Oryctolagus cuniculus: one gene and its partners. The protein of the gene in region 2 interacts with the protein of the main gene of each other region in a pairwise test. Links are inferred from orthologs where the notes say so. Each region holds a gene or a part of one and is shown on either strand. Other genes may lie near its edges.

What was found.
Region 1: the proteins of DISC1 (region 2) and GNPTAB interact in a two-hybrid assay, tested with the Homo sapiens proteins (2 studies listed by BioGRID and IntAct). The link is inferred for Oryctolagus cuniculus from reciprocal best matches to the Homo sapiens genes DISC1 and GNPTAB.
Region 3: the proteins of DISC1 (region 2) and AKAP9 interact in a two-hybrid assay, tested with the Homo sapiens proteins (2 studies listed by BioGRID and IntAct). The link is inferred for Oryctolagus cuniculus from reciprocal best matches to the Homo sapiens genes DISC1 and AKAP9.
Region 4: the proteins of DISC1 (region 2) and RANBP9 interact in binary tests that used the Homo sapiens proteins (3 or more experiments, as listed by UniProt). The link is inferred for Oryctolagus cuniculus from reciprocal best matches to the Homo sapiens genes DISC1 and RANBP9.
Region 5: the proteins of DISC1 (region 2) and SPTAN1 interact in binary tests that used the Homo sapiens proteins (3 or more experiments, as listed by UniProt). The link is inferred for Oryctolagus cuniculus from reciprocal best matches to the Homo sapiens genes DISC1 and SPTAN1.
Region 6: the proteins of DISC1 (region 2) and YWHAZ interact in binary tests that used the Homo sapiens proteins (3 or more experiments, as listed by UniProt). The link is inferred for Oryctolagus cuniculus from reciprocal best matches to the Homo sapiens genes DISC1 and YWHAZ.
Region 7: the proteins of DISC1 (region 2) and PPM1E interact in a two-hybrid assay, tested with the Homo sapiens proteins (2 studies listed by BioGRID and IntAct). The link is inferred for Oryctolagus cuniculus from reciprocal best matches to the Homo sapiens genes DISC1 and PPM1E.

Annotation. Positions count from the first base shown.
Region 1 is NC_091442.1:104,763,459-104,766,958, forward strand, and holds part of GNPTAB (N-acetylglucosamine-1-phosphotransferase subunits alpha/beta), read right to left. Parts: intron 737-3,500; coding exon 575-736; intron 192-574; coding exon 12-191; intron 1-11. UniProt on the Homo sapiens protein: Catalyzes the formation of mannose 6-phosphate (M6P) markers on high mannose type oligosaccharides in the Golgi apparatus.
Region 2 is NC_091444.1:51,179,889-51,184,033, reverse strand, and holds the start of DISC1 (disrupted in schizophrenia 1 protein), read right to left. Parts: upstream 2,801-4,145; 5' UTR 2,716-2,800; coding exon 2,655-2,715; intron 1-2,654. UniProt on the Homo sapiens protein: Involved in the regulation of multiple aspects of embryonic and adult neurogenesis. Required for neural progenitor proliferation in the ventrical/subventrical zone during embryonic brain development and in the adult dentate gyrus of the hippocampus.
Region 3 is NC_091447.1:43,719,358-43,722,857, reverse strand, and holds part of AKAP9 (A-kinase anchor protein 9), read left to right. Parts: coding exon 1-1,630; intron 1,631-3,500. UniProt on the Homo sapiens protein: Scaffolding protein that assembles several protein kinases and phosphatases on the centrosome and Golgi apparatus. Required to maintain the integrity of the Golgi apparatus. Required for microtubule nucleation at the cis-side of the Golgi apparatus.
Region 4 is NC_091436.1:157,016,933-157,020,432, reverse strand, and holds part of RANBP9 (ran-binding protein 9), read right to left. Parts: intron 3,167-3,500; coding exon 3,055-3,166; intron 2,974-3,054; exon of another isoform or gene 2,473-2,973; intron 602-2,472; coding exon 471-601; 3' UTR 1-470. UniProt on the Homo sapiens protein: May act as scaffolding protein, and as adapter protein to couple membrane receptors to intracellular signaling pathways. Acts as a mediator of cell spreading and actin cytoskeleton rearrangement.
Region 5 is NC_091432.1:231,847,213-231,850,712, reverse strand, and holds part of SPTAN1 (spectrin alpha chain, non-erythrocytic 1), read right to left. Parts: intron 2,940-3,500; coding exon 2,862-2,939; intron 2,722-2,861; coding exon 2,566-2,721; intron 2,384-2,565; coding exon 2,179-2,383; intron 1,772-2,178; coding exon 1,590-1,771; intron 1,255-1,589; coding exon 1,011-1,254; intron 816-1,010; coding exon 693-815; intron 1-692. UniProt on the Homo sapiens protein: Fodrin, which seems to be involved in secretion, interacts with calmodulin in a calcium-dependent manner and is thus candidate for the calcium-dependent movement of the cytoskeleton at the membrane.
Region 6 is NC_091437.1:126,360,566-126,364,582, forward strand, and holds the start of YWHAZ (14-3-3 protein zeta/delta), read right to left. Parts: upstream 2,801-4,017; 5' UTR 2,660-2,800; intron 1,986-2,659; exon of another isoform or gene 1,940-1,985; intron 1-1,939.
Region 7 is NC_091448.1:34,142,863-34,146,940, reverse strand, and holds the start of PPM1E (protein phosphatase 1E), read right to left. Parts: upstream 2,801-4,078; 5' UTR 2,510-2,800; coding exon 2,052-2,509; intron 1-2,051. UniProt on the Homo sapiens protein: Protein phosphatase that inactivates multifunctional CaM kinases such as CAMK4 and CAMK2. Dephosphorylates and inactivates PAK. May play a role in the inhibition of actin fiber stress breakdown and in morphological changes driven by TNK2/CDC42.

The DNA of each region.
Region 1 (3,500 bases), on a different chromosome or scaffold from region 2:
AAGTCAAGCACCTGGTGTGTTACTATTGTCACTCGGGGATTGTCAAGGTTCAGCCAGGATGGAATCTGTCCATTGGTGACAATGAAAATATTTCGAACCCATGGTGCATGCCTCTCAATAGAGCGCAGTGAGTATCTCAGCTCTTCATTATCTTCAAAACGGCTGGCAGAAATGTCTTCATCCTGCTTGGACTGAGAGAAACATGGAGCGTGGACAGGTGAAATACCCAGAAGCACACCTTCTCTTCCTCCTCCTCCTCTCCCCTGTGCTCAGAGTGCTCTGGCAGACTCGCAAAGATGGAATCTAATTTTACATAGGACAAAAATGTGAAAGACTAAGTCTACCATAAAAATCCCCAAACTCAAATACAGCATTTCTTTAATATATTTATAAAAAGGTGTCTGGATCCAATTCTAGGTCACTTCAATTAATATTAAAGCAATGGTGGTGAGTGGACAATTTGAAAAGTTTCAATCAACTCACTTCAAGTCCTTTTCCTTCTCTTAACGTAGTGGCTTACATAGTTTTATCCTTCTAAACCCTCAAACTGTGAAACAATCTCCATAACCCATACCTGGCTGATGGCACTCAGATCCCATAACAGGTATGCAGGACTTATGGTCAGTTCTTTTCCATCAATGGTCATGTTCTTCTTAGTTTGCTTATTCAGTTCTTGGAAATCCTTGGGGTTATTCAATTTTAGAAGTGCCACACTGGCCTCTGAATACAACTGCAACTATTAAATAACGAGAGTTACACAAAGGAAGAAACACCTTCAAATTCCCACTTTTGTCTTCAATCTTGAAATACCCAAGCAGTTTCAAAAAAAAAAAAAAAAAAAAAAAAAAAGAAGACCTTAAAACAAGGAGTGGGAGGGGTGGTCAACTGACCAGACAGAGCAGGACCCATCTGAAGGCTGCAGCTACTGCTCAATGCTGCCAACAGCTGCCAGATCTCCTGAGATGCCAGGACCTCCCACTCTCATTTGATATCTTCCCAACTTTTCAACGCTGGCTCAAATGTTTTTATTTCCCTACATTCAAACAAAGCACGTGCTGGCTAACAGCTGGTGACTTTTGATCAAAAATATTACAAATCTGCTCAAACTGGAGAAAACTCCACAATGTGACTTCACTGGAATTGTTGATAAGCACAGTGAGGTGTCTGAGCACTTTTTCTTAGTCACATGCCTAGGAAGGGCATCTTTGTCAGGGTTTCCTGAAGTACTTCTACAGGAAGACCACCTTTCAGGGGAGAGTTTTCAAGCAATAATAAATCTAAGAGGGAGCATCATAATGTCAGCCTGCACCCTGCTGGAGTCCCCATCCCCCTGTATGTTCTGACTCTATATCATACCATTTCCTATGAAAAGAGGTTTGCAGATCAGAAAATGGGGACAGGACTGAAACCACTAATTTAGGACTGCCAAATTCTTCTGCTGAACTGGCTCTTCTAATGGAGCTGGTGGTCTTCTCTCCTAATTTCCATACTCTTTAGAAGATTTTATTTGAAAGGCTGAGTTACCAAGCAAGAGGGAGTGACAGAGTGACACAGAGATCTTCCATTCGTTTGCGCCACAATGGTCAGGGCTGGGTCAGGTGGAAGCCAGGAGTCAGGAGCTTCTTCTGGTCTCCAATGTGGGTGGCAGGGGGCCCAAGCACTTGGGCCACCTTCTGCTGCTTTCCCAGGTGCCTTAGTGGGGAGCTGGATTGGAAATAGGGCAGCTGGGACACAAACTGACATCCATATAGGATGCTAGTACTGCAGACTGCGGCTTAACCCACTGCATCACAACGCCCTCCCTTCTTTCTTAATTTATACAATAAACACAAATTTATGATGGGCTTATTTTGGGCTCTTTCAATGGGTCCATGACTACACTTAGCTCATTTTCTTAGCAATTCCCCAAGTTTACCAAGGCTAAAAAACAAGAAGCTAGACTTAGAATTGCATTTCTATCTTCTTCCGTCCATTATTGAGTAAGGCATTAACTCTTACATATATGTAATTCCTTCTTGACTCACTATTTTCTTTTACCTTGTCAGTGCCTGGCATGTACTAAGCACCCAATACAGTCAGCTTTCATTGCTGTCAACACCCTGCCTCGGTATGCCGTGAAAGTTAGGAGGCATGCCCTGCAGGGCAGACATCCATCTGCCTGGGTACCTGCTTATCTCCCAGCTTCCCCTAACCCTTTCCTCCTGCTCACAATGGTTCCCACAGCACCTCTGAGGGCTTCTGGAGTGGAAAACACCATTACTCTAGAATAAACAATTCTAGTAATATATGAATATATAATATCAGTATAGGTAATAAGTCTATATACTAATATAGAATTTAAATTTTGTAAGTAAATACCTTTAATCTAATCTCATCTACCCAAATTGAATTATTTTGAAATTTCAAAGACATTTTAAATTTTCATAGATTTTTAAGCTTACTTAAGATAAATTCAAAATATAGAAAGGGATCTGAGACTAATATATTCCTGAAATGGAACAATATCCAACCGTGATCCTTGATTTCTGCTGCTAGCAAAGGTCATTTGCTGTTGGAAACTGATTTATAACAGTATTTCTTGTTTTGTTTGCCCAATGATCAACTTCACAGAAGCTGTAGATAAAATATATGTTATGGGGCACATGTTTTAGTTTACCAGTCAAGATCCCCACGTCCCACATCAGAGTGCTTGAGTTCAATACCTGGCTCAGCTCTTGACTCTAGCATCCTACTAATGCAGACCCTGGGAGGCGGTGTGATGGCTCAAGTAGTTGGGTTCCTAACTCCTACATGGAAGACCTGGACTGAGGTTTCCAGGTCCTGGCTTCAGCCCCAGCTGTTGCAGGCATTTGGGAGTAGACCAATGGATAGGAAGTCTTCTTTTTCAAGTAAATATATAAAGAAATTTTTAAAGTATGTTAAAGGTGCAACATATTAAAGTTAAAAATTAATGCCTTGACATTTATATTTTAACTTCCTAATACAGAAACTTTTTCACTTCAACTTCTACAACTGACTGAGTGCATATTTGCTAGACATTGCCCTGGGATTTCAGTAAATATCCAGGCTAAAGATTCAAACTCAGATCTATGTAACATCTAGGTATGGTCATCTACTTTTGCTTCTGCTGCTGGTCTGTGTGATACATTGAGATGGATGGTGACTACCCAGCAGCCCCAGCAGGCAGACAGCCAACCAGATACCTACCAATACAGAGTGGTAGCTGCTACTGTAGCTGTGTTAACCGAGGCAGGAAGAACACGAGGGGTGAGTGATCAGCCCTGCTGGAGGAGGTGCTGGCTGAGCTAAGCTCTAGAAATAAAAACTTGACTATCTAATACCAAGGGAAATGACCTTCTCAGCTCCATTTACAAAAGTCAACGGATATCGCCAACCAGCGTCAGAGAAGAAACTACAGAAACTGGCTGGAGAGTGAAACAGGAGCCAGGCTTTCACTGGTAAGTGTGCTCCACTTTTTACTACACTCTTTTCCTGACAGG
Region 2 (4,145 bases):
TAGTGAGATTTCAGTGGTTTTACTGTTTGTTTGTTTGTTCGTTTTTACTTGTTTGGAGTTTTCTCTACTTCTTGTAATGAATACATGTTGCTTTTAGAAAAACAAAAAAAAGTAATAAACTTAATTTAGGAAACAAGTGAACTAAGAGTTGTTAATGCAGCACAAAGATCTGATCTTCAGTCTCTTCTGTTTAAAGTTCAATTTCCCGCCGGCGCCGCGGCTCACTAGGCTAATCCTCCACCTAGCGGTGCCAGCACACCGGGTTCTAGTCCCAGTTGGGGCGCCGGATTCTGTCCCGGTTGCCCCTCTTCCAGGCCAGCTCTCTGCTGTGGACAGGGAGTGCAGTGGAGGATGGCCCAAGTGCTTGGGCCCTGCACCCCATGGGAGACCAGGAAAAAGCACCTGGCTCCTGGCTTCGGATCAGCGCAATGCGCTGACCGTAGCGCGCCGGCTGCAGCGGCCATTGGAGGGTGAACCAACGGCAAAGGAAGGCCTTTCTCTCTGTCTCTCTCTCTCACTGTCCACTCTGCCTGTCAAAAAAAAAAAAAAAGTTCAATTTCCCTCTGCCAGCATCATGGCTGAACATGAGGTCTCCACAAAAACATCCTGGGATGCAGCCCTGTGAGGTGACCTTGACACCAACAGCCTTCATCCCAGCGTCACCTCGTGTGCCATCCTAGGGTCCTGACACATTTAGGTGTTAAAGTATTAATCCAGATTCCACTTCTTCTGAGATCTGCAAGATCATCATTCGTTCTTTCAAGCTTTCCATGCCTTTGTTTTTCATTGTTTCAAGAGAATAACCTGCATCGGATTTTACAGAAATAGGGATGAAAGAAATCTCCGATTTCTTCAGTCACCTATGCAGGGCTAATAATTTACCCATCCATTTTATGATATGCAGGGTGCATCATTAGCTATGATCTAATACAGGTCTGCTCTGAACCGTGGCTCCATTCACTAACATCTTTTCAGTCAGAGGTTGAAAAGACAATGGGGAGAGGTGTCCACACAGGGGTGCACTGCTGGCTCTGCACTGAACAGCTATGTGAGCTTGGGAAAAAAGCAGGTGACCCTGAACCTCAGCTTTGCCATAGGAAAACAAGGACTGATTACCAGCCCCATAAAGGCTTGGGGAAGAGTTCATCAAAAGAATGCACAGTAGAGCTCCCAGCACATCTGGAAGTTGTAAAAAGTTGCAGATGTTAGGATTCCTGCTAGTAATATGATGTCCTGTATGTGCACAGTGACTCCTGTTCCACACGATGTCTTACATGTTTTACTTTATTTGAACCTCAGGTAGCACTATTGGTCTAAATGGCAGGAATTACTATTCCCCTTTTCTGGTTTTTTTTTGTTTTTTTTTTTTTTTTTTTTGTAAGTAGTTAAGAAAAACTGAGGTCCAAGGTCACAAAGCCCACAAAGTAGGTCTACTGTCCAGGGCTGGGTTCTTGTTCTGTGGCAGAGTCTGAACTGAACCTCAAGGGACTCCATGCGTCATGCCTGAGCACAAGAAAACCCAGGGTCTTTTACAGCACCCTACTCTTCGTACTTAAATCAAACCAGTATTCCTTTAAACGCCACAGTATTCAGTTTTACTTAGGAAAATTAGCAACGACAGTCTTTTCATCCTGCAGTCTGTCTCTGGAGTAGAGCTAGGGGCTTCACATCCACCACCACACCGAAACGGCGCAGCAACCCTCTGGGGAAAGGGGTACTGTCATGGTCCCCATTTTAAAAGTGGGGAAACTGAGGCACAGCTAAGTCCAGGATTGAGAAGCAAAGACACTGTCTCCAACTCCCAGCTTTCATGGCCCTGGTGTTTCCCAGCTCACGTTTGTGTAACCAGTGAGACACTTTTAGCAAAGTGCTTTCACATCCATAGACCCAAGGAGGCAGGGAGACCCCGTCATTAGTGGCCACTGTGACTTCTGAGGGAAGGGATGCACCCAGGACATAATGCACACCCTGACTCCAAATCTCACGGTCTCCAGAAAGTTTCCAATACTTCTGCATGTATTTTAAGAGCGAGAGATACAAGTCCTGTCATGCTTGGAAAGCAAACATCTACGCCATGACTTCAGTGTCACCACTGCGAGCTGACGGTGTAATCAGGGTCTGGGCAGTGGTGTCCCGCCGAAGCTCCGGCGAGGGCTTTGCCGTCGCCAAGTTCCAAGCCTGCAATGAAACTGCACCGTGGCCTGTGGAGGACGCGCCCTCACCAGCTCCTTACCCCACTCTCAACTTCCACCTTCCAGGTCCCGCGGGTCCCGGGCGAGGGCGTGCAGGGCCGCTCTGTCCTGCGGGGGTACGGATGGACAGGACCCATCCCAACTCCAAGCACGCCCCTGGGGCCTTCCGCCGCCGCCCAGGACCCGTCAGACGCGAGCATGGGTCCGCCGCGGACTGCTCTGCAGAGTCCTGCGGGCCAGGAGGGACTTGGAGGGCTGGGCACAGAGCTGACAGCCCCAGACCCTCTCCTCCCAAACCTGCACCTTACGCGCCCTGTTGCGGTTTCCCGCACCTCTGAAGGGGCGCACCGAACTGGAGCTGTGAAGAGAGGCTCGCCCAGACCTACTGAGGGGGAAAGGCGCACTTCCGGCCCGGCCCAGACCTCCCGGGACCCATTCTGGCTGCTGTGGCGGAGCCCCTACCTGCGCCGCGGTCCGCGCCGCCTCCGCCGGCCGGGGCGCCCTGGGGACCCCGGCGCAACATGTGCCGGGCCGCTGGCTCCTCCAGTTCCGCCTTGGCTGCCTCCTGCTCCGGTCCCCGGGCCGAGGGAGGCGGATTGGGAGGAAGTAGCGCTCTGGACGGGAAGTGGGGAGGGGGCTGAGGGAGAAGAGGGAGGCTCCTTCCTTCTCATTACAGAGCGCAGTGGTTTCCTTTGCAACTGGGTCACACACAGGGCAAGCATACATCCAGTCCCTTGGCTGGGACAGGCGCAGCGGGCAGGCTCTTGGTGGGTGCCTAGTACCTCGGGACCCCAGAAAGTTTGTTCTTCGCTCTGGATCCCTTCTGGACAGAAGCAGGACAAGGGAGATGCAGGCAGGAAAGGCTGAGCGGCCTTCAGCATAGGACCTTAGCAAGGTTCTTCCCAGATGCCTAGTCTTGGGAAGTGACCAAAATGTGAGTGCGGGAGTTAGCATCAGGTAGACTCATTTTATTCCAAGTGCAGGGCAAGTGCCGAAGGTGACATCGAAGGATAAGCATGAAAGCGGTTGTTTAGAAATAAAAAGAATTCCAGCTTTTAGACTCTTCTGGCAGCACTGGGCAGGCCACAGTCCGTTGCAAGCGTCTAGTTCAGTTCCAAGCATCTACACCATTGACTCGCCTACTAACACCTTCTCTTTGGCTCATTCAAAAGAGCCAAGGAGAATCCCCCATGTAATTCATGCTACAGAACAGTGCGATAAGGAAGGGCAAGGCGTGGTTTTTTTTTTTTCTTTATTTAAAAATTTTATTTATTTGACAGAGTTAGACAGTGAGAGGAGAGAGACAGAGAGAAAGGGCTAGTCCTGGTTGCTCCTCTTCCATTCCAGCTTTCTGCTGTGGCCTGGGAAGGCAGTGGAGGATGGCCCAAGTGTTTGGGCTCCTGCACCTGCATGGGAGATCAGGAGGAAGCACCTGGCTCCTGGCTTCGGATCGGCGCAGTGCGCCGGCTGTAGGGGCCATTTGGGGAGTGAACCAATGGAAGGAAGACCTTTCTCTCTCTCACTGTCTATAACTCTACCTGTCTAATAAAAATAAAAAAAGAGCTTAAAAAATATCACCAACTGGGCCAGCGCAGTGGCTCACTAGGCTAATCCTCCGCCTGCGGTGCTGGTACCCCAGGTTCTAGTCCTGGTTGGGGCGCCAGTTCTGTCCCGGTTGCTCCTCTTCCAGGCCAGCTCCCTGCTGTGGCCCGGAAAGGCAGTGGAGGATGGCCCAAGTGCTTGGGCCCTGCGCCCACTTGGGAGACCAGGAGGAACACCTGGCTCCTGGCTTCGGATCTGCACAGCGCACTGGCCATAGCAGCCATTTGGGGGGTGAACCAATGGAAGGAAGACCTTTCTCTTTGTCTGTCTCTCTCACTGTCTAACTCTGCCTGTCCAAAAAAAAAAAAAAAATCATTAACTGACAAAAGCACTGTATTTTGTTTTGTTTTG
Region 3 (3,500 bases), on a different chromosome or scaffold from region 2:
GTCCCTTGGTACAGTGGAAGACTTGAAAGCTCAGATTGTTTGTGCATCTGAATCCAGGAAGGAACTAGAATTAAAACATGAGGCAGAAGTTACAAATTACAGGATCAAACTGGAGATGTTGGAAAGAGAGAAGAATGCTGTGCTAGACAGAATGGCTGAGTCACAAGAAGCCGAACTAGAGAGACTTAGAACACAACTTCTGTTTAGTCATGAAGAGGAACTTTGCAAGCTGAAGGAAGATTTAGAAATTGAACACCGCATAAACACTGAAAAGCTTAAGGAAAACTTGGGCATTCACTATAAACAGCAGATAGATGGCTTACAGAATGAAATGAGTCAAAAGATAGAGACCATGCAGTTTGAAAAAGATAATTTGATAACTAAGCAGAATCAGTTGATTTTGGAAATTTCAAAACTAAAAGATGTACAGCAGTCCCTTGTGAATTCAAAATCTGAAGAAATGACCCTTCAAATCAGTGAACTTCAAAAAGAAATTGAAATACTCAGACAAGAAGAAAAGGAAAAGGGTACACTTGAACAAGAAGTTCAAGAATTACAACTTAAAACTGAATTACTGGAAAAACAAATGAAGGAAAAAGAGGATGACCTTCAAGAAAAGTGTGCACACCTTGAAGCAGAGAATAGCATTCTTAAAGATGAAAAAAAGACCCTGGAAGACATGTTGAAAACACATACTTCTGTTAATGAAGAAGAAGGAGTGATTGTCGTGGATCCCGTTGAGTCCAAATCCAAAGACAGTAGCTGGCAAAATGAAATAGAAATACTTACAAAGCAAAATGAGGATCTCAAGCAAAAATGTATTCAGCTAAATGAAGAGATCGAAAGGCAAAGAAATACATTTTCATTTGCTGAAAAAAACTTTGAAGTTAACTATCAAGAGTTACAAGAAGAGTATGCTTGCCTTCTCAAAGTAAAAGATGATTTGGAAGACAGTAAAAATAAGCAAGAATTAGAGTATAAAAGTAAGCTTAAAGCACTTAATGAAGAACTTCATTTGCAAAGAATAAATTTACCTACTGTGAAAATGAAAACCTCAGTTTCTGATGAGGAGAAAACTTTGGTAACAGAGCCATTGGAACTTGGTGAAGTTGTTGAGAAAGATACAACAGAACTGATGGAAAAACTTGAGATAACCAAGCGAGAAAAATTAGAACTCTCAGAGAGACTGTCGGATCTTTCTGAACAATTAAAGCAGAAACATGTTGAGATTAGTTTTTTGAGTGAAGAAGTTAAATCTTTAAAGCAGGAGAAAGAGCAGTTTTTATTGAGATGTAGAGAGCTTGAAATCATAATCAACCACAGTAGGACAGAAAACACCCATGTGGATGATGTTCCATTAAGTTCTTTAAAAGACGGAGCTGTGACTGTGACAAGCAGGGATTCTGGATCCTCGGTTTCTCAAATAAATCAGTGTTCTGGTGAAGAATCAAAGCTCATGGTGGAGGACAAGATTCCTTTTGCAAATCTGACCATTAGAAAAGAAAGCGAGCCGGAACAGTTGTTTTTGGATCACTTGCCATTGGTAACAAATGAATCATCATTTGGGGCAAGTGAATCAAGTGAAAGTGATAAACTTCAGCAGGAACTCCGTGTACTTAAATCAGAACAGGTAAGTTTACTCATTTGTATATGATAAAGCAGAGTGAAAATACATTTCATAATACAAGTTTTCACCTTGATGAGACATTCATATTCATACAAGAGAAATTTAATTCTCAACTGGGCTTATTTAGTTCAGCTGTTTTTTCTTTTTTCTTTTAAAGATTTATTTATTTATTTGAAGGAGTTACACAGAGAGAGAAGGAGAGACAGAGAGAGGTCTTCCATCTGCTGGTTCATTCCTCAGTTGGCCACAACGGCCAGAGCTATGCTGATCCGAAGCCAGGAGCCAGGAGCTTCCTCCGGGTCTCCCACATGGATGCAGGGACACAATGACTTGGGCCATCTTCTATTGCTTTCCCAGGCCACAGCAGAGAGCTGGATCGGAAGTGGAGCAACCAGGACTCCAACTGGCACCCATATGGGATGCCGGCTCTGTAGGCAGCACCTTTACCTGCTATGCCACAGCACCGGCCCCAGCTGTTTTTTCTTAAACATTGTTGCCTCTTCTTCATTTAATCCACGTTACGTATTGTGCTCAGAATATAAAACATACTGATGGTTTTACATTTTCTTTGGAAATATAAATGTTTAAATGACTGTTGAGAATCCCAGCTATAGAAAAGTTATTAATTTTATAATCTTTCGTTACAATCTCAAAGATTGGTTTTAGAGTTTTTATTTCACACTGGTGTTTTCAAGGTTCCTCAAGTGCAAATGAAGTCCTAGGCTTTTTAAGTACTGTTAATAATTTGTCATTAGTTACAAAATTGTATTTCCCTAGAGAGGAAAAAAAAAACACTGAGTTCTCCCTGTTATATGTTAATGTTAGCCGTCGCAAAACACACCGAACACCGGAGTAAGGGAGAGGGTTTATTGGGGAACACCCAACAGTCCAGAGTGAAGGGGCGCCGAAGGAAAAAGAGAGAAGGAGACTGTAAGAGAGAGAGAGAGAGAGAGAGAGAGAGAGAGAAAGGAGAGAGACGAGAGGAGGAGAGGAGCCAAGAGAGAGCAGGAGAGAACCAAGAGGGCACGTGCTCAGGAACAGGCCCTTTTAAAACTTTGCCTGAGGGTGGGCAGGGAAGCAGGAGCAGCAAATCCCATTAGGATGGGGGTGGAGCATGACCACAGAGGTTGGGCCATGTGGCCACCTGGCTAAAACTGTGCTAGTTTCCTAACACTCCCAGAATCTTGTGATACTTAAAGGAGAAAAAACAGTATTAACTCTGAATATATCTAAGTAATTTAAAAATGTATACAGTGAATAATATTAGATCACTCCTGATCATTTATATTTGCCAGTACTGTTATTAAAAAATACTCAGAAAACTGAGTAGCTTCAGTAAAATGATGCCAACTCAGATTTTGTGTGTTTCTTAGGTAACAAATACTTACTGGGTCTCCTGCAGTGATGTGAGTATGTTGGAGAACATGGTTCTGGGACTCAAGGAGCATGTCTCTAATGCAGTGAGCCAGGAAACCAAGTAGGGTGATTAGAAACTGGTAAATGTGATGAAGAGGACAATGTGGAGGTGATGGTGGTGTCCCAGTTCCACACAGTGGTCGGGAAGGGTCCCTTGGAGGAATTGACACTGGAGCTGAGATCTGAATGAGAAGAAGAGTGTGCCGTGTGGGAATTAGCCATGGGTGACTGTGGAACAGGATGAAGAGCTCTGTAATGAGTTAGAAGAGGAAAGTGGAAGCAGGATTTGAAGAATGAAGAGACTGAACGTTAGCCTCACAGGCTTGGAGGAGTTTAGATTTCATTCTAAGCGTGGTGGTGGGAAGCCATTGGAAAGGTTCTCTTTTTATTTCCAATGACTTACATTTATCTCAGGTCAAATACAGATTTTACTTTTTAAGTCATCAGAATAGAATGA
Region 4 (3,500 bases), on a different chromosome or scaffold from region 2:
GAATTCAAACTGTCGATGTTTATGCATTTTGCAAGTTACACTGATTGAATGCTTATGTAGGAGCGGGGGTCGGAACATCTCCCAGTTTGAAGTTTACGTCACCCACATGCTAACACAAACACGACTTGTTCCGTTTCCTCCCCCCTCTCCCCCCCACAAAAAAGGCAGGACTTTTTTGGTTTGTTTTAGGTAATTGTTTTATAGGATTTGTGATGATCAATTTGAACGTCTGAAATTCAGTAATATTTAACTCTTAGACAACTAAGAGGTTAAAGATGGAAAATAAATTTCTCCTAACACTAAGTTAGAAAATCATTTGCATCATGCTGTAAACTAGGAAGCAATGTAAAGCGACAAAAACCTGTCCCCAGTACATAATTAAAAAAATCTAAATTTCAAATCAGCAGAGCTGGTCTACTTCCGTGTTGACTAAATGCCACAATATAGGTGTGAGCTCTTGAAATGCATAGCTAATGCAGGTAGTCTTCCACCGTGGCAAATGCACAGGATCCGATCCCTGACCGAGCCATCAGTCCCAGACACTGTGTGGCCTGTCCCATTGCTAGGGCAAGCGGAGGTTGCTTTGGCAGATTGTGAGTTTCTGAGGAAATAGAGTTAAGAATGGAAATAGCAATTAGTGAAACATTTTTTAAAAAACATCTCCCCATCAGGAAAATACTGTTAGTAGGCGTAACTGAAAAAGGGCAAAACACAGTGTGGCTGGTTTAGCTTCATCCTCGGTTCAGAGCTCACAAGTATGGCTGTAGGAGAATTTCTAGAAGAAAAGACTCAAACACATCCAAGAATTGAAACTTACGGGAAGGAGGCGTGCAGACAGGTACACAGCCTGGTGAAGGCTGAGAGGATTAAAGGGCAGACACAGCACTGCGAGGGAGGAGGCCTGTGTCTGAGGGAAGCGCACAGCCCTGCACAAAGGTGCACTCTTACTACTATTACCATTTGGCCAGAGGAATAGGAATTATGTGCAGTTAATGCATTTACTACACATACATGAACCTACGTAATACAGCATATATTTATACACATGCATACTTATCCACAACAATCTTTAATAATCTTGTCAATTTTATAGGAGTTATACGTTGTATAAATTACACAGTATTTATAGCCAAACATCCACAATAGAGCATAGTACTTCAGAATATATAAGGGGGGGTCTTCAGAAAATTCATGGGAAAAAATGTATATTATGAACACACCATGCATGGATTTCAAAAACTATGTAGCTAAATAAGCCTTTGATTTCCATTTTCCATGAATTTGTCAAAGCACCCTCACATATCCAGTTCCCCCCCAAGAGCCCAAAGAAATAAACTATCCTGAGAGCTGCTTACTTTTGTTCAGAAATTCTTTCCACATCTGACTACTACCTAACAGCTACATCAGGATTACCCATAGTATAGTTTCAGTGACAATTACAATAAACCATGATTTTCCCTGCATATCTAATACATTTTCTTTGATGGTTTTTTGCTTATATACAAATTCTAAGTTTAAGCAAACTGTAACACAAAAGACATTACTATTCCCTAACAAATAATAAGGCTTCTTTACATTCCTGGCCCGCATTACAACCTCCCTGTCTGTCTAAGTCACTTTGGGACACTGCTCTCATTTTCCTAAAATAGTTTGAAACACTTGACTAAAAGCTCACAACCTCACAAGGCCAAATAGCACAGCATCAACTTCCTAACTGGAATCTCATTTTTCTTGGGTGTTAGATCCCAGAATCAGATTGGGGGGGGGGGGGGAATCCCTCTTACCTAACAGAAGAGAACTGCCCAGAAACTGAAACGTGGATTTCTGTGTAGTCTATGCAGTCGCAGAACTCCGAAGTATCCTGCGCTCACAGGAAGAGCGGATGGCGTTTCCCACTCTGCGCTCACCGTGGGCTGTGCACCAGGGACAGTTCTCTTCCTCACCCATCCTTGTAGGGCGAGGACCTGCCGTTTACTGTGGTTCCCCTAGACACACACTTAATTTGACTCCAGAGGTTGGTGCTGACCAGGTACTCAGACACCTCGAAGCCCCCCTCATCTGTACCCTAGGCGTGGTAGGAGCTGTGAGACATGTGGCTCCGGCTAGGGCTACTCTTAAAACACCTTGAGAAAGGTGGGAATGAGGTAGCAGGGAGCACCAGCGAGGACTCCCGGCCTCCACAGGGTCGCACCCAGACTTCTCAGATGTTCAAGCTCTTGCCGGCTCTCATTTCTTTCACATTTTGCCTGTTCCATCGAAACCTCCATTTCCTGACCTCTTCAAGTTCACCCTGCTTGTTTCTCACCTCACTCTTTGTGGACCAAACACCTGAACTGTGTTTTCATTAATAACCTCAAATTCGTTCTACAGCTGCCAATCGAGAAGCCCAGTTCTGATCAATCCACTGAACGAAATGTGTTCAGCTATACAGAATGGTTGTACAGCACCTTAAAGTCCTATTTTGCTTTTCAGGCAAGTTAACCCTGTCCTCCCACTGACCCTAATCCAGTTCTCACAACCTTCTACAACTGACAACTTGGAGGCCCTGATAACCCAGAAAAACAAGAGGCCGTCTCCCTGCAAGCCCACGTGCTTCTCTCCTGGACTGGAGGACAGCCATGGTCTAGCCAATGGAAGATTTAGGAAAATGCTGCCCTGATTCCTAGCCTAGAAATGAGCAGCAGGAATACACCTTTCAATAAGGGGGCGGAGGGGCTAAGTCTTTGGTAGAGTAAAACTTTGAATTCAAACACGAGGACCACCAAAGTCTATCATTGTGAATGAGAAGAGACAGACATTCATGGCTACTACAAACATGTAAAAACATGCACACAAAAACTACTTTCCAAACACCGGAAGATGCACCTCAACCTACTGTTTCTATTACATTTAGATCATGTAATCTGGAGTTGAGATAAAGGAGAACAGTTTTTATGTGTGAAAGTACTTCTGTATTAAAATACATAAAACATTTCCCTTGTGAGTTCATCAATAGAAATGCCAGCACAGAATACTCACAGAATCCAACAGGCTGTGCTGTTTGGCTTTACTTACCTAATATTGCACTGTTAAGAGCTGAGCACACAGGTTCTCTCTGAATTGGGTCAAGCTGGTTTCCAACTGGGCTGTTCCAGGGGTCGGAATACGCTAGTAAACTGAAGGCATCCTGGTGGAAATGTAACAATTTGTCTTTCAGTTCAAACAGTTCAGCTGCTGTGCTCACAGGGCTCCAAGTGGAGACGAGCAAGATCCCGCAGCTCTAAGGTAGAGGCCAGTGACGGGGTGCTTTCTGTTCTGAATGGCAGGGTTACACAGCACAGCCTAACTGGTTTGCACTTTCCTTGTTAGCAGCCTTTCCCCTAACCAGCCTCCCCCCTTCAAACACTGATAGAAAGACGGTGTACTGGTGAAGGCAGACGGGCAGTCCGGACATTCAGACACTTCACCGTACAACTTCTTTCCACCCACAGAATCTGACATTAAAGGACAGGGTCTGGCTG
Region 5 (3,500 bases), on a different chromosome or scaffold from region 2:
AGGGTAGAATGCCAGAGAGGCAGGAGAGAAAGATAGATAGACTGATCTTCCATTCACTGGTTCGCCTCCCAAATGCCCGAAACAACTGCAATGAGGCTGAGCCAAAACCAGGACTGGGAACGCCAGCCACAGGTGGCAGGAACCCAAGTACTTGGGCCATCACCTCTGCCTCCCAGGTGCATTAGCGGGAGCTGGGCTGGAGGTGAGGAGCAGCCAGGACTCAGTGTGCCACAGTGGCCACTCCAGGCAGGGGAACTGAGGACGGACAGTCACAGAGGGATCAGAAGCAGCCTCTGTGTGTTCTTGGCACGTTCACTGCTGTGACCGGCGGGCCAGGCCCTTTCCAACTCCTTTTGTAGATCTTTCTAGACTCTAAGAAGCAGACGCCACAGTAGGCATCCTGATACATCATAGACAGAGTGAAGCCGGCGCCCCGCGGTTCAGTTACTGCGACACGCACGCAGGCCTCCACCAGCCGCTCCACCTACGCAGCTCATGTGATCCTCACAACTTCATCAGGAGGAGGTGTTGTGAATGCAGGAAATCCAGGCTCAGAAAACGTGAGGCCCCGTCCGGGTGACACAGTAAGAGAGAGGTGGATCCCAGCCCCTTAGCCCAGGAAGCCGTGCCCACATCCAAGGGCGGGGACACACAGAGCAAAACCAGCCGTGTCCGGAGACGACCCCACTCACCTTCCTCCACCATGGCGCTGCCCTTCTGCGTGACTGCTTTGATGCGGGGCTCGTGTCCGGCGATTTCTGCTTGTAGGGCCTGGTGCTTCTTCAGCAGATTCTGGACTCCAATCAAATCCTTGCCTGGAAGCAGGAAACACTCCCTCGTTACCCAGCCACGAAGAGAGAGGTCAGCACCAACCTGTAACTCTTCACTACCCCTACGGCACCAGGGCAATAATTTAAACCTGACCCTGTTATTCCGACGTGCGTCCCCTCCATGCCAATACCGCACGGCCCTTCCTTGGCTTGATCCCCACCTGGTGCAGGCAGACTGACCTCTGTTGGTGGATGCAGCAATGGGTTCCTTCTCTCGAATCCACGTCTCCTCATCCTCCACGTCACGGAAGAGCTGCTGCAAGCGCAGGGAATCGGCCAGCTTCTGCTTTCGGGCAACCATGGGTTCCTTGAGAGCCTCATAGCGAGCCACGAGGGCTTCCTGCTTTTTCTTGATATTGTCAGCATCAAAGTGGCCAGCATCCTGGAACTGGCGGGCCTGGATGGTGATGCCGTCAATTCGATCCTGCCAACAGCACAGGACAAAGTCGTGAGTTTGGACTGGTGTTGAGCCACTATGTTCTGGACGTTTTCAGGCTAACGTTGATCTTTTGGGTAAGGGGTTATGGTATCTCCAAAAAAGTTAACATGGGCCTGCTGCCATCCCCACGGGGGTCTGGCTGCCGTCTCCTTCCTCATTTCAGGCTCCCAGAGGCTATCAGGTGAGACTTCACTTACTTAATGTGAGCAGCAGAAGCACCCGAGTCATCTAGGAAAGCCAGCACACCGCATCCCTCCCCAGACTAGCCTGGTCTTCAAAGTCCCGCCACTCCTGCGTCCAGCCCCCAAGGCGCAGGCTACCTGGTGCGCGGCCACGTCGGCCTCCAGCAGGGCGTGCTTCTTCTGGAGGTTCTGGACATTAGTAAGATCTTTGCCGTAATCGTCGGACGCCAAGTGACCTTCCACTTCATACAGCCACAGCTCGATATCCTCCACGTTGCGGTTGAACTGCTGCTGCTGGTTAGCTTCGCGAAGCTTTATTCCTGTCCAGGGAGGGAAGTTCCAGTTCCTGCTGGTTAACACGACGCTGGCACCAACAGCGCTTCACTTGTATTACAGAGATGATGAAAGCACACTCTGTGACCTCTGTCCTACTTCCTACAGGGTAAATCGGAAGCTGTCTGGGAAAGCCTTCCAGACGTCAGGAGACAGGCCGTGAGAAGCACTCGTGCCCTTGGCTCACAGTGGAGCCCAACTGTTTCCTTCTCAGACTCCCCTGTCAACCTCACGTGCTCGACCACACGGACCAAGCCAGCAAAGCGACAAGAACCCAGGCCAGCTCCTACACAGCAAGCAGTCCCCCACACCCTGCCTGGCGGGGTGGGGTGTGTCCCTCAAACCCTGCACGAGAGGGAAAGGCCGGCACAATGCAGCGTCACGCTGTCCCCACCTTTCAGCTCGGTGGCCTCCAGCAGCTTCTTCCACAAGCTGATGACCTCATTCATGCGAGCTGCAACTTCATCCTTGGCGTAGTGGTCGACGTCAATCAGCTTTCGCCCGGCTTTCTCCAGGGCATCGATGCGGCTCTGGTTTGCTGAGAGCTCAGCTTCAAAGGCCTGATGCTTCTGAACTTTGCCCTGCAGGTTGGATGGGTCCTGCCGACAAAGGAAAGAAGGGAGCCGACCTTAAACCTGCGCTGCCACGTTACCTCCGTACTCCTCTTCACGCGCAATGCACGTCAGTGGACGTTAGACTGGGCGCTCTTTGGGCACTGCCTCTGTGGGAGCTGCGCTTGGCTGGCTGACCAGTGCTGCACAGCAGTGCCACAGCGCCTTACCTTATACGCTTCATCCGTGGCCGTTTTCATCTTCTCGTTGACCCAGCTCTTGAGCTCGTCAGAATCACGGAAGAACTGCTGCAGGTGGAAGGAATCGGCCAGCTGGGCGCGGCGGTACATGGCTCGCTCGTGAAGGGCATTTCGGCGGCTCAGTAGCTGGAAGACAAGGATTCCCGTGAGTCTCCAGTCCTCACGCCCAACAAGATGTCCAGCTCACGGGATTCCACTGCATTATCTGTCGTAGAGGGGATATTCACGTGCAGACAGGGAGGCACACACAGAGCCTGGACACTTACAGCATCGCGGCGGGTGGCCACGTCTTCCATTGCATAGTGGTTGTTCTGAATCAGCTTGGTTGCAAACTCATCTAAAGCCTAGAGAGGAAGACACAGTTTCTCACTGGTAAGCACACGACTCCCTACCTTCATCTCAAGGGAGAGGCCACGGCTGCTCAGGGACAGAACACTGTGAAGTCAGCACAGGTCGAGGCGAGCGTCAAGGCTGGTGACATCTTCTCCTGTAACTTGTGCTTGGTGTTAGTAGCCAGATACAGCAAGACCGTGCTAGCTCCACTCAAGAATGCAGATAACAGCAGCGACCTGGTGTCTGACAGGGGTCAGATGCAGAGCCTAACTGAATTACTCCTAATTCCTCAGCTGCCAGGTTGCCACCCAGCAGGTATTTCATCGCTTTGTCTCCAACAAGACGGCGTATCATCACCTGCGATTTTAAGTGCTCGGGACACAGATCCTCCAACAATCTGTTCAGAGATGCTTTAGAAAAAGAGACCTCTGGGGGCTGGCGCTGTGGCGCAGCGGGCAAAGCCACCACCTGTGGTGCCGGTGTCCCATATGAGCGCCGGTTTGTATCCCAGGTGCTCCACTTCCAATCCAGCTCTCTGCTGTGGCCTGGGAAAGCAGCAAAGAATGGCCCAA
Region 6 (4,017 bases), on a different chromosome or scaffold from region 2:
CTTCAAACCTAGTGTCTGTGAAAGACTGTTCACTGGAGGAATTCAAATGCAGCCTCACAAAAGGATGGTCACGACAGGGAAAAAAAAACTCACAACAACAATGGAGAGGGAAATTCACAGCAAGGAACACCAGTTTTGCACATTTGGTCAAAAGGCTGCCTTTTAAAATTACCCCTTATCTCACTTGACCAAAAATCTCTATCATGAGACCCAAAATTAGAACAGCTTCTCCTCCTTCATGAAAACAAGGCAAACAAAGAACAGTGCCACTACCGTCATCCCTATCTCCAGAACCACAGTCCATGTCTTTTTTCTTTCCTAATACTTACTCTGATCAGGGATGATTAAATTTAGTTGGTGTCACTCCCACCCAATATAGCAACATTTGCCAGCTGATCACAGCATGACAATTTCTGGAACACACAAATTGCTCATTCTTAAAATATTCTGAATATAAAGCCATCACCAAGGATCACTCTCTAACTGACCCTAAGGCCTCCTTTATACCTTCTTATGTGCATACATGCTTCACAAAGTGGCCCAAGGGTCCCTTTCATTTCAATTCCATCCGAGAGCAGTAAAATTCATCACATTGGAAGCATCTGCGTTTCCAATGTCCCCGTTCCAGTTTCAAAATAGAATTACTGCACCGCTTCTAGTACTCACAATTTAATGAGATGTTATCACTCAAGCTGCCCTTTCCCCTAGCTCTCCTTCCCTCATTTAAGGTTCCCCGTACTTTTCAGGTTACCTCCACTGCATTTATCTTATAAGATAGCCTTTCAGACGGTGCTCAACAGCAGAGAAAGGTACTACACCGTACTGTGATACCACAGAACAAAGGATTTAAAAGCACACACAGAGCCTGAAATGAAATGTACTATTAGATTAAAACGGGGGACGGAAGGGCCACTGTCATCTCCCAGGGGAACTGACTTCCCAATATCTCATTCTTTATCTTCCCAGGGAAACCCCACCATACTGCTTAAAAACTCAAAAGGAAACTGGCCAGAGCGTATGCGAGGAGGGCCATCTCAATGTGCAAAATAGTTAACATTTATCATCGAACATTTCTTCTCGGTTCTTCAAAAATAACCCTTCCCATAAAATCGCCAAACATTTTCTGCTTAATATTGCTTCTAAAGAAAAATGGCTTAAAACCAATACAAAGGTTTTCCTCTACAACCCCTCCGGGACAAGGGGAAGTGGATTAGGTTTCTCGGAGTAACTAGTGCTCCAAGGCCTCGCCTCTATATGGAGATGACTCGCCGCACCCATTTAACCCTTCCGCGGCGTCAGGCGTCGGGGAGGGTGCAACGCAAACCCGCAGACCGTGACTTTAAAGTGCAAAGCCTCCGTGCGCGCAATCCGCAACCACCCCTCCTCCTAGGCCCCGCCCAAGCCGGTGCCTTCGCACAAGTCGCCGACTCTCCCTCTTTGTCATGGCGGATCTGTGTCAAGGAGCCCAACCTACCGCCGAGTGTTAACCCCCCGCCCAGAGCAGGAGGGCGGAGCAGCCCGCGCCCCCGCCCAAGTGGAGGGGGGCGCCCGACCCGGGGACCGAGACGCCAGCACCGCCCGCAGAAGCGGAACCACTACCAGCTCGGCCGCGGACACACCCCGCTCTCCCACCCCGCGTCTTCCCCGCCACCGATGCCCATCCAGAGTCCAAGGACCCGACAGCTGCAGCAGGTGGGGGAGGGGGCGGAGAGCCACACCCAGCCCGGCGAGGCCACCACCGGCTGTTACGCTCGGGGCCCGCAAAGCAGGATCAGGGCCCCTGGTTCCAGCCCGGGGGGGGGGGGGGGGGGGCCGGAGAGCGAGAGCAGCCGAGCGCCGTCTCCCCCACCTCCCCTACCCGACCTGGGCCCGGAGCTCCCCCGCGCCACCCCCGCCCCACCACAAGTAGAAAAGAACCAGTCCCCTCCCCCATCCCAACCGGGAAAATTCAAGTCCTTCCTCCCGCCGCCGCCGCCGCCGGTCCCGGGCCGGCCCCTCCCCACGCCGGCTGGCCCTCGGCGGCCTCGCCCTGCCCGACGTGGGGCAGCGCCGAGCGCGGCGGCCCGGTCCCCGCGGCCCCGGCCCCTCCCGGCCGCGCCGCGCCCCGGGTGGGGGAGGGCGATCGCACCGCGGGGCGCGGAGGCTGCGCCCGGGAGCGGGGGAGGGGGCGAGCCGGGGAACCGGATCGGGGAGGGGGCGGCCTCACCTGCGCCACTGCAATGCCCGCCGCGGCCGCCAAGTCATTCTCCCGGGCGGAAGCGGGGACGCACGGGCCAGGGTGGGGACGGAACGCGGCCGGGGCGCCTCGGCCGCGCCTCGGCAGCCGTGGGGAGCCGGCGGCCGGGGGATCCCCGGGGATCTCGTGTCGGGGGCGCCTTTCCCATCCCCCCCCACACACCCGGGGGATCCAGAGAGGGGAGCGGGCGCCGATCGGGGCCGAGGCACTGGCCCGGAAACATGTAGCCGGAGGCGGCCGCAAGCCGCCCGCCCGAGTCCTGCGGAAGAGAAGCCGCCGCCCGTGTCTGCCTGAGGAGACTCCGCCTCAGCTCCGCGCCGCTACCGCCCGACGGCCGGGCCGATGGGGCCGCGGAGGCGAGGTCGGCTCCCAAGCCTTCCGAGGGCCGGCCGGGGGCGAGGCGGCTGCGGCCGGGTCCCTTACCTGTGTCCGGAGTAGGAGCCGACAGACGGACGGAGGCTCACCGGGCTCTGGGCGGCGGCGGAGAGGCTGAGACTCTGTCCCTGAATCTCGCTGCTCACAGGCTACAGCCGCTCCGCAGACACGGGGTTTCCTCCAATCACCAGCCCCGGCAGCAGGGGCACCACACGCACGATGACGTCAAACGCTGCTATGGCAACCGTTGATTGGTGCCCACAGCTCCGGGGGCCTTAGCGCAACCGCCGCTCCCCGGCGCGCGCCCTACCCGCCCGCGCTAGAGGGCGAGCGAAGGAGCGCGCGTCCTCGCCCCGCGACCGGCGCTCGGCTTCCACCTTGTCTACTCGTTCCCCGAGTGCGCCTGGGCAGGAAGCTGCTGTACTTCCCTCCCCACCGCCACCCCGCTTCCTCGTCTTCCTCTCGGACGCCGCGCCCCCCCCCCCCGCCCCTATCCTCCGGCTCTCCCTTCCGCTAATCCTACGGGAAGAAAATGTGTCCCCACCCCCACTTCAGCGTTCGACCTGGCCTGCGCCTGCGCCAATCACTCCCTCTTCAGAAGGGGCTCCGCTTCAGCAACATCCGGGACCTTTCGCTCGCGCCCCCACCCCCCCCGCCCCCGCCCTGAGGCCTGGCCCGCCCCGGGGTCCGGGGTCCGTGCTTCGCGGTGGTGACTGCCGTAGGGCGGTCCGAGGGCTGGATTACGGGGCCGGCTGGGGCGGCCGGGCATTGTGAGCGGCTTTTGGGGGAAGGGGCAGGGCGAGGGCGGGGCCGCGTGCGGCGCGCTCCCCGCAGGACCCCGCCCGGCCGTGCGCCCGCGGCTGCCCAGGGCGGGGCGGACCTGGGTGCGCGGCGCCTGCCTGCCGCGGCCACGGCCGCCGCTTTACCTGTCGGCGCGGGGGAAGAGGCCTTAGACCTTTTAAGGTTCGGAAAAGAGGACGGAGCGACCAGCCCCTAAGTGTGGCTGAGTGACGGGCAGCTTTTCCAATCGGGAGCTTGGGATCCTCGCCCGGTGACAGCGGCGAGAGGACAATGGGTGGGCGCCGAGGCGGGGGCGACAGGCACGGCCTGGCGGAGACGCGGTCACTCTCAGAAAGCCTCGCTCCCGAGCGGGAGAGGCCGGCTGCTTAGGTGGACGCCAGCACACGAAACGGCTGCCTTTCCCGTTGGGTAGTTTGGGTTTTTTTTCCCCCCTACCAAATCAGACTTGGCTATAGAACATAAAGGTCATAGCCATTTTGTCTCCGAAGGCTAGATCTGAGCAAAGTCCTAGTGCCCAGGGCCCCGGCTGACCCAGCCCGGCGGCAGGGAGAGGGGGCAGAGGAGCGGAAATTGCAGGTGTCTCGCGGCCCGGCTCCACCCAGCCG
Region 7 (4,078 bases), on a different chromosome or scaffold from region 2:
TGAATCTGGGTTCATAGTTTTTTCACATATAAAATGAAGTGCTTAGACAGAAAAATCTATCCCTACAATCTTTCAGCATTGATTCTTTAAGTAATGTTTTTCTTTTATAAATAAAATAAAAACACAGCAGTATATTTTTTGAAACTTTTGAAACCTGTAAAGACTTTAAAGATATTCTACATAAATAAGCCAGCCATTTTACATCTGAATAAAAATACATTAATAGCTTCTAAACAAAATACAGTTTAAATGATAAAGTCTGATTAAGATAAAATATTTTCCAATTATAATTTTGCTAATTTTATTTCAAAATCAAACTTCTGTTCTTAATTAGGTGGACATTTAATCAATTCAATCATTTTCCCAATTTCTATATATATTTCAATTCAATCACTTTCCCAATTTCTATATGTATTAAAATTAATTCTGCTTCTTTTCCATGTGAAAAAATACACATCTTCATACAGGTATCATTAAAAAAGAAAAACTTCTTGAATGACAAACATTCAGGGCTATACTAAACTGGCAATTATTGTTTTGGACATTCTCTAATGTTTACATCGTGTTTAATTTTGCAACTGCATTTATAAAGGTAAGAATTTATTGTCAAAATAGAATTAGGCTGATGCTGACATAAATTCCTTCATTTTACTAAACATTTTAAGCAGAGAGCTTTAAGTGTCTTCAAACAGTGTTAAAAATGACATCTTTAATGATAACTTACAAAGACTAGAAAGAAATACTCCAAAATGTTAATGCTGTTTATCTCAGGGTAGCAGTATTACCCGCCATTTTATCTTTTACATTTCCCAAAATGTAATTTTACAATTTTAGACTGCTTATAAATTGAGACATCAACCCAGTCTACTTCTACAGGTGATTTGTTACATGTTTTTTTCCCTGCTGATAAGCCGCAGCTTTAACGGGAAAACGATTTGATCGGGTGTCCATTAGGCTGGATGAAGACAAAATAGGCCTTTCTTTTATTTAGGCTTTTGAGAAAATGCAAGAAGTGTGAACTTAATTCCGGTGAATCTTGCAGTAGTAAACTTTCTGGATGGTCAGAGTAACACCTTTCATTAAACTATCAGCTGAGTGGCAAAAGACTCCCAGGTCTGCCAATGTTTTCAAAGCTTCGTTAGTATTTTCCTCTATCGATAGTTGTTTCAGAACAATTCCATTTGGAAAGAAACACCAATTGTAAACTGCATCTATTTCAAGTCTATAAAAACCAGAACTGGGATGAAAGGCAAAGCTTTGACCTTTCTATTTTAGACTTTCATCTGTGTGGCTAAGCCATCTGCTACGCCCCCCCCCCCTTCTACTTAATGGACTGAAAATACTGTACCTAATTGCAATTTTATCAAAGCAGCCTGACTTTTCCACTTTAATGAATTATGGCTCTCACCTGAAGGCTCACTTGTAAAATTCTGCTTACTCCTCTCAATCAATCCTTTCCCACCTCCGTCAGTAACGGCTTGTTAAATGTCTTTAAAAGACCGGGTTCCCGAAGAGCGCCTCACTTCCAACACGGAGCGCCTAACGGAACACCGACTCGGGCGTCCCCTCTCCAGGACGCCGGGCCGGGGTTTCTGTGCCCGCCGCGGCCGTTACGCAGGAGGCACCTCTCCACCAGACAACAGGGAGCCCAGTCCGCGAACGCACAGCCTGGGCTGGGAGGCAACCTGCCGGAGCAGAGGCGAGCTGGCCAGAAGAAAAAACTCGGGGCCAGGCAGGAGGAAGGATTTTCCGAGGCAGAAGGGGAGTGTGAAGTGGAATGAGCAGTGCGCGGCCGAGGGGAAGGGGCAAGAAGGGCCCGAGCCAGCCGGAGAGCGGCTCCGAGGCGGCAGTCGGCGCGGGGGCCGCGGCGGGCGTGGGCAGCCCGCAGCCCACCGGCCGAGCCCGAGCAGCCGGGCTGCGTTCAGCGGCGGGGTGCGGGGGTGAGGAGTAGATGAGAGAGGAGTGGGGGGTGTGGGGACAGGGAGAGCCTCTTCGGAGGCCGGCGCGTCGAGGACAGCGGGCCCACCCCCAGCCGAGCCCCGCTACTTAACTATTTGTAGAGCTGCTGCAGGCACAGGTCCAGGCTCTCGCCCTCCACCTCCTCGCGGGTGATGCGCTCAGACAGCTGCCGCGGCAGCGGGGGCAGCGGCGGCAGCTGGGGCTGCGGCGGCGGCCGCACGGCCGAGTGCCCCGGGGCCGCGGCTGCCGCCGCCTCCTCCTCTTCCTCGCCTTCACCCGCCGCCACCGCCTCTTCCTCCACTGCCTCCTCCTCAGGCTCTGGGTCTTGCTCCGGTTCCCCCTCCTCCGTCGCGGCTACCGCGGCCGCCTCTTCCCCCGGTTCCTCGACCAAAGCTTCGGCCGCCTCAGCGGCTACCAGTTCAGGCTCCGGCTCCGACTCGGGTTCAGGTTCCGGCTCCGGCTCGCCGCCGCCGCACGGTCCGCGAAACTCGCCCAGGAATAGCTCCAGAAAACGCCGGTAAGTTTTCTCCTCAGGGCTGCAGCCAGCCATCGCTGCTCATGCCCCGGGGCCGACCGGGAAGGGGGTCGGGGGAAGCCCAGAGAGGGGAGGGGGCTGCTTTTGAGGTTCGGGCTCCCGCTAGGGCGGTTAACGGCCGCACCGGCACGAGCGATCAGCACTAGGTTGCCTGGAGAGGGCTCCCGCAGGCGTGCGCGCCACCGAACGCCGACGTGCGCGGCCCAGGGGCGGGGGCGGAGCGCGCCGCCCCTCGGGTCTGGAGGGAAAGTTGGTGGCGGGCACGCGCACAGGGTCCAGCGGCGGCCCACCCTCTATCCCTACCGCGAGCTCAGCCCACGCTGCCTGGAGACTGTCGCCATAGCAACCTGTTCTAATGAAGAATTTCAGGGTCCCTCTCGTCGAGTCCGTAGTAGAGTCGAGAGGGCACCGGACTTGCCTGGCGTCCAACTCCGAATATCTTTATTGGAGGGATACTCCAGCCTCACGTGCTTAAGAAGGGACTCAGCTCCAAGTCTGTTGGTTCCCACTTCGACTGCATTTATCCATTTATTCCCTATGATCCTCTTTTACCTTGGCATACCTTGAACCAAAGATCCTACATTGTGAACAGCTTTTGTTAATGACATTCATTGAAAGAGCAGTTCCAGGGAGGAGGCCTCAAACACCCCGCAGGTGTAGGTTCTCATTCGATTTTGTGATGTAGCATATTCCTCTTTAAAAGAGGAAACTGAAAGGTGAGATAGTATTTTACTTGCGTTGAGGTCTCAAAACTTCTAGCTATGTATTGGAATTTGAACCCAACTCCTCAGCCTCAAGTCTTTTTAGACTTTTTCCTCAACTCCTGTCTCGGAAAATCTAGTCTACCGAACACCTTTGTACAGGACTTTGAAGTATACAAGGTGTTTTCACTCTTTTAATCCTTGTCATAGCCCTGGAGGTACAGGACATTGCCATTATTGATTCTATTATATGGGTTAGGAAATCCAGGCTTAAAGACCTGGTGCCTTTGCTCAAGGTCACACACAAGTGATAGGACTTAATACAAGTCTTTTCTCTGAAGTCATCCATTTTGGTGGATTTCACTCAGTTTTCTAGTACACCAAAGATACCCCTCTTTAGTTTCTACAAAATGTGTTTTATGCTTTACTACATAGTATGTATTTTTTTTCCAGTTTGTTTGCTATTCCTCTCCACTCCCCATCTCTCTCTTAGATTGAAACTGAAACGACTAAATGATTCTAATTTTCTTACCAAACTACACACAAACCTATTATTTTCATGCCTTAGGGGGATGGGAGAGAGACACTATGTTTTTATACAGCTGTACAGATGATAGCATCATTATTGCATACTGCCATGTCCATGGCAACATATAATTCAGCAAGAGCCTGGTGATTCTTTCTCTACTTTGAAAAACATGTTCTAACAAACTATTCACCCCAAATTCTCCATTTATTGTGTCTGGATTTCAGTAGGATTTAGGGTCTGAAATACCATTTCCTGTCAGTTATTACTGGCAGAAGAGGGAGTCTCCCTGCCAACTGTTTTCATATAATACTGTATTCTAAATCCCTGACCTGATACTGTTATTTTAAGATTAAG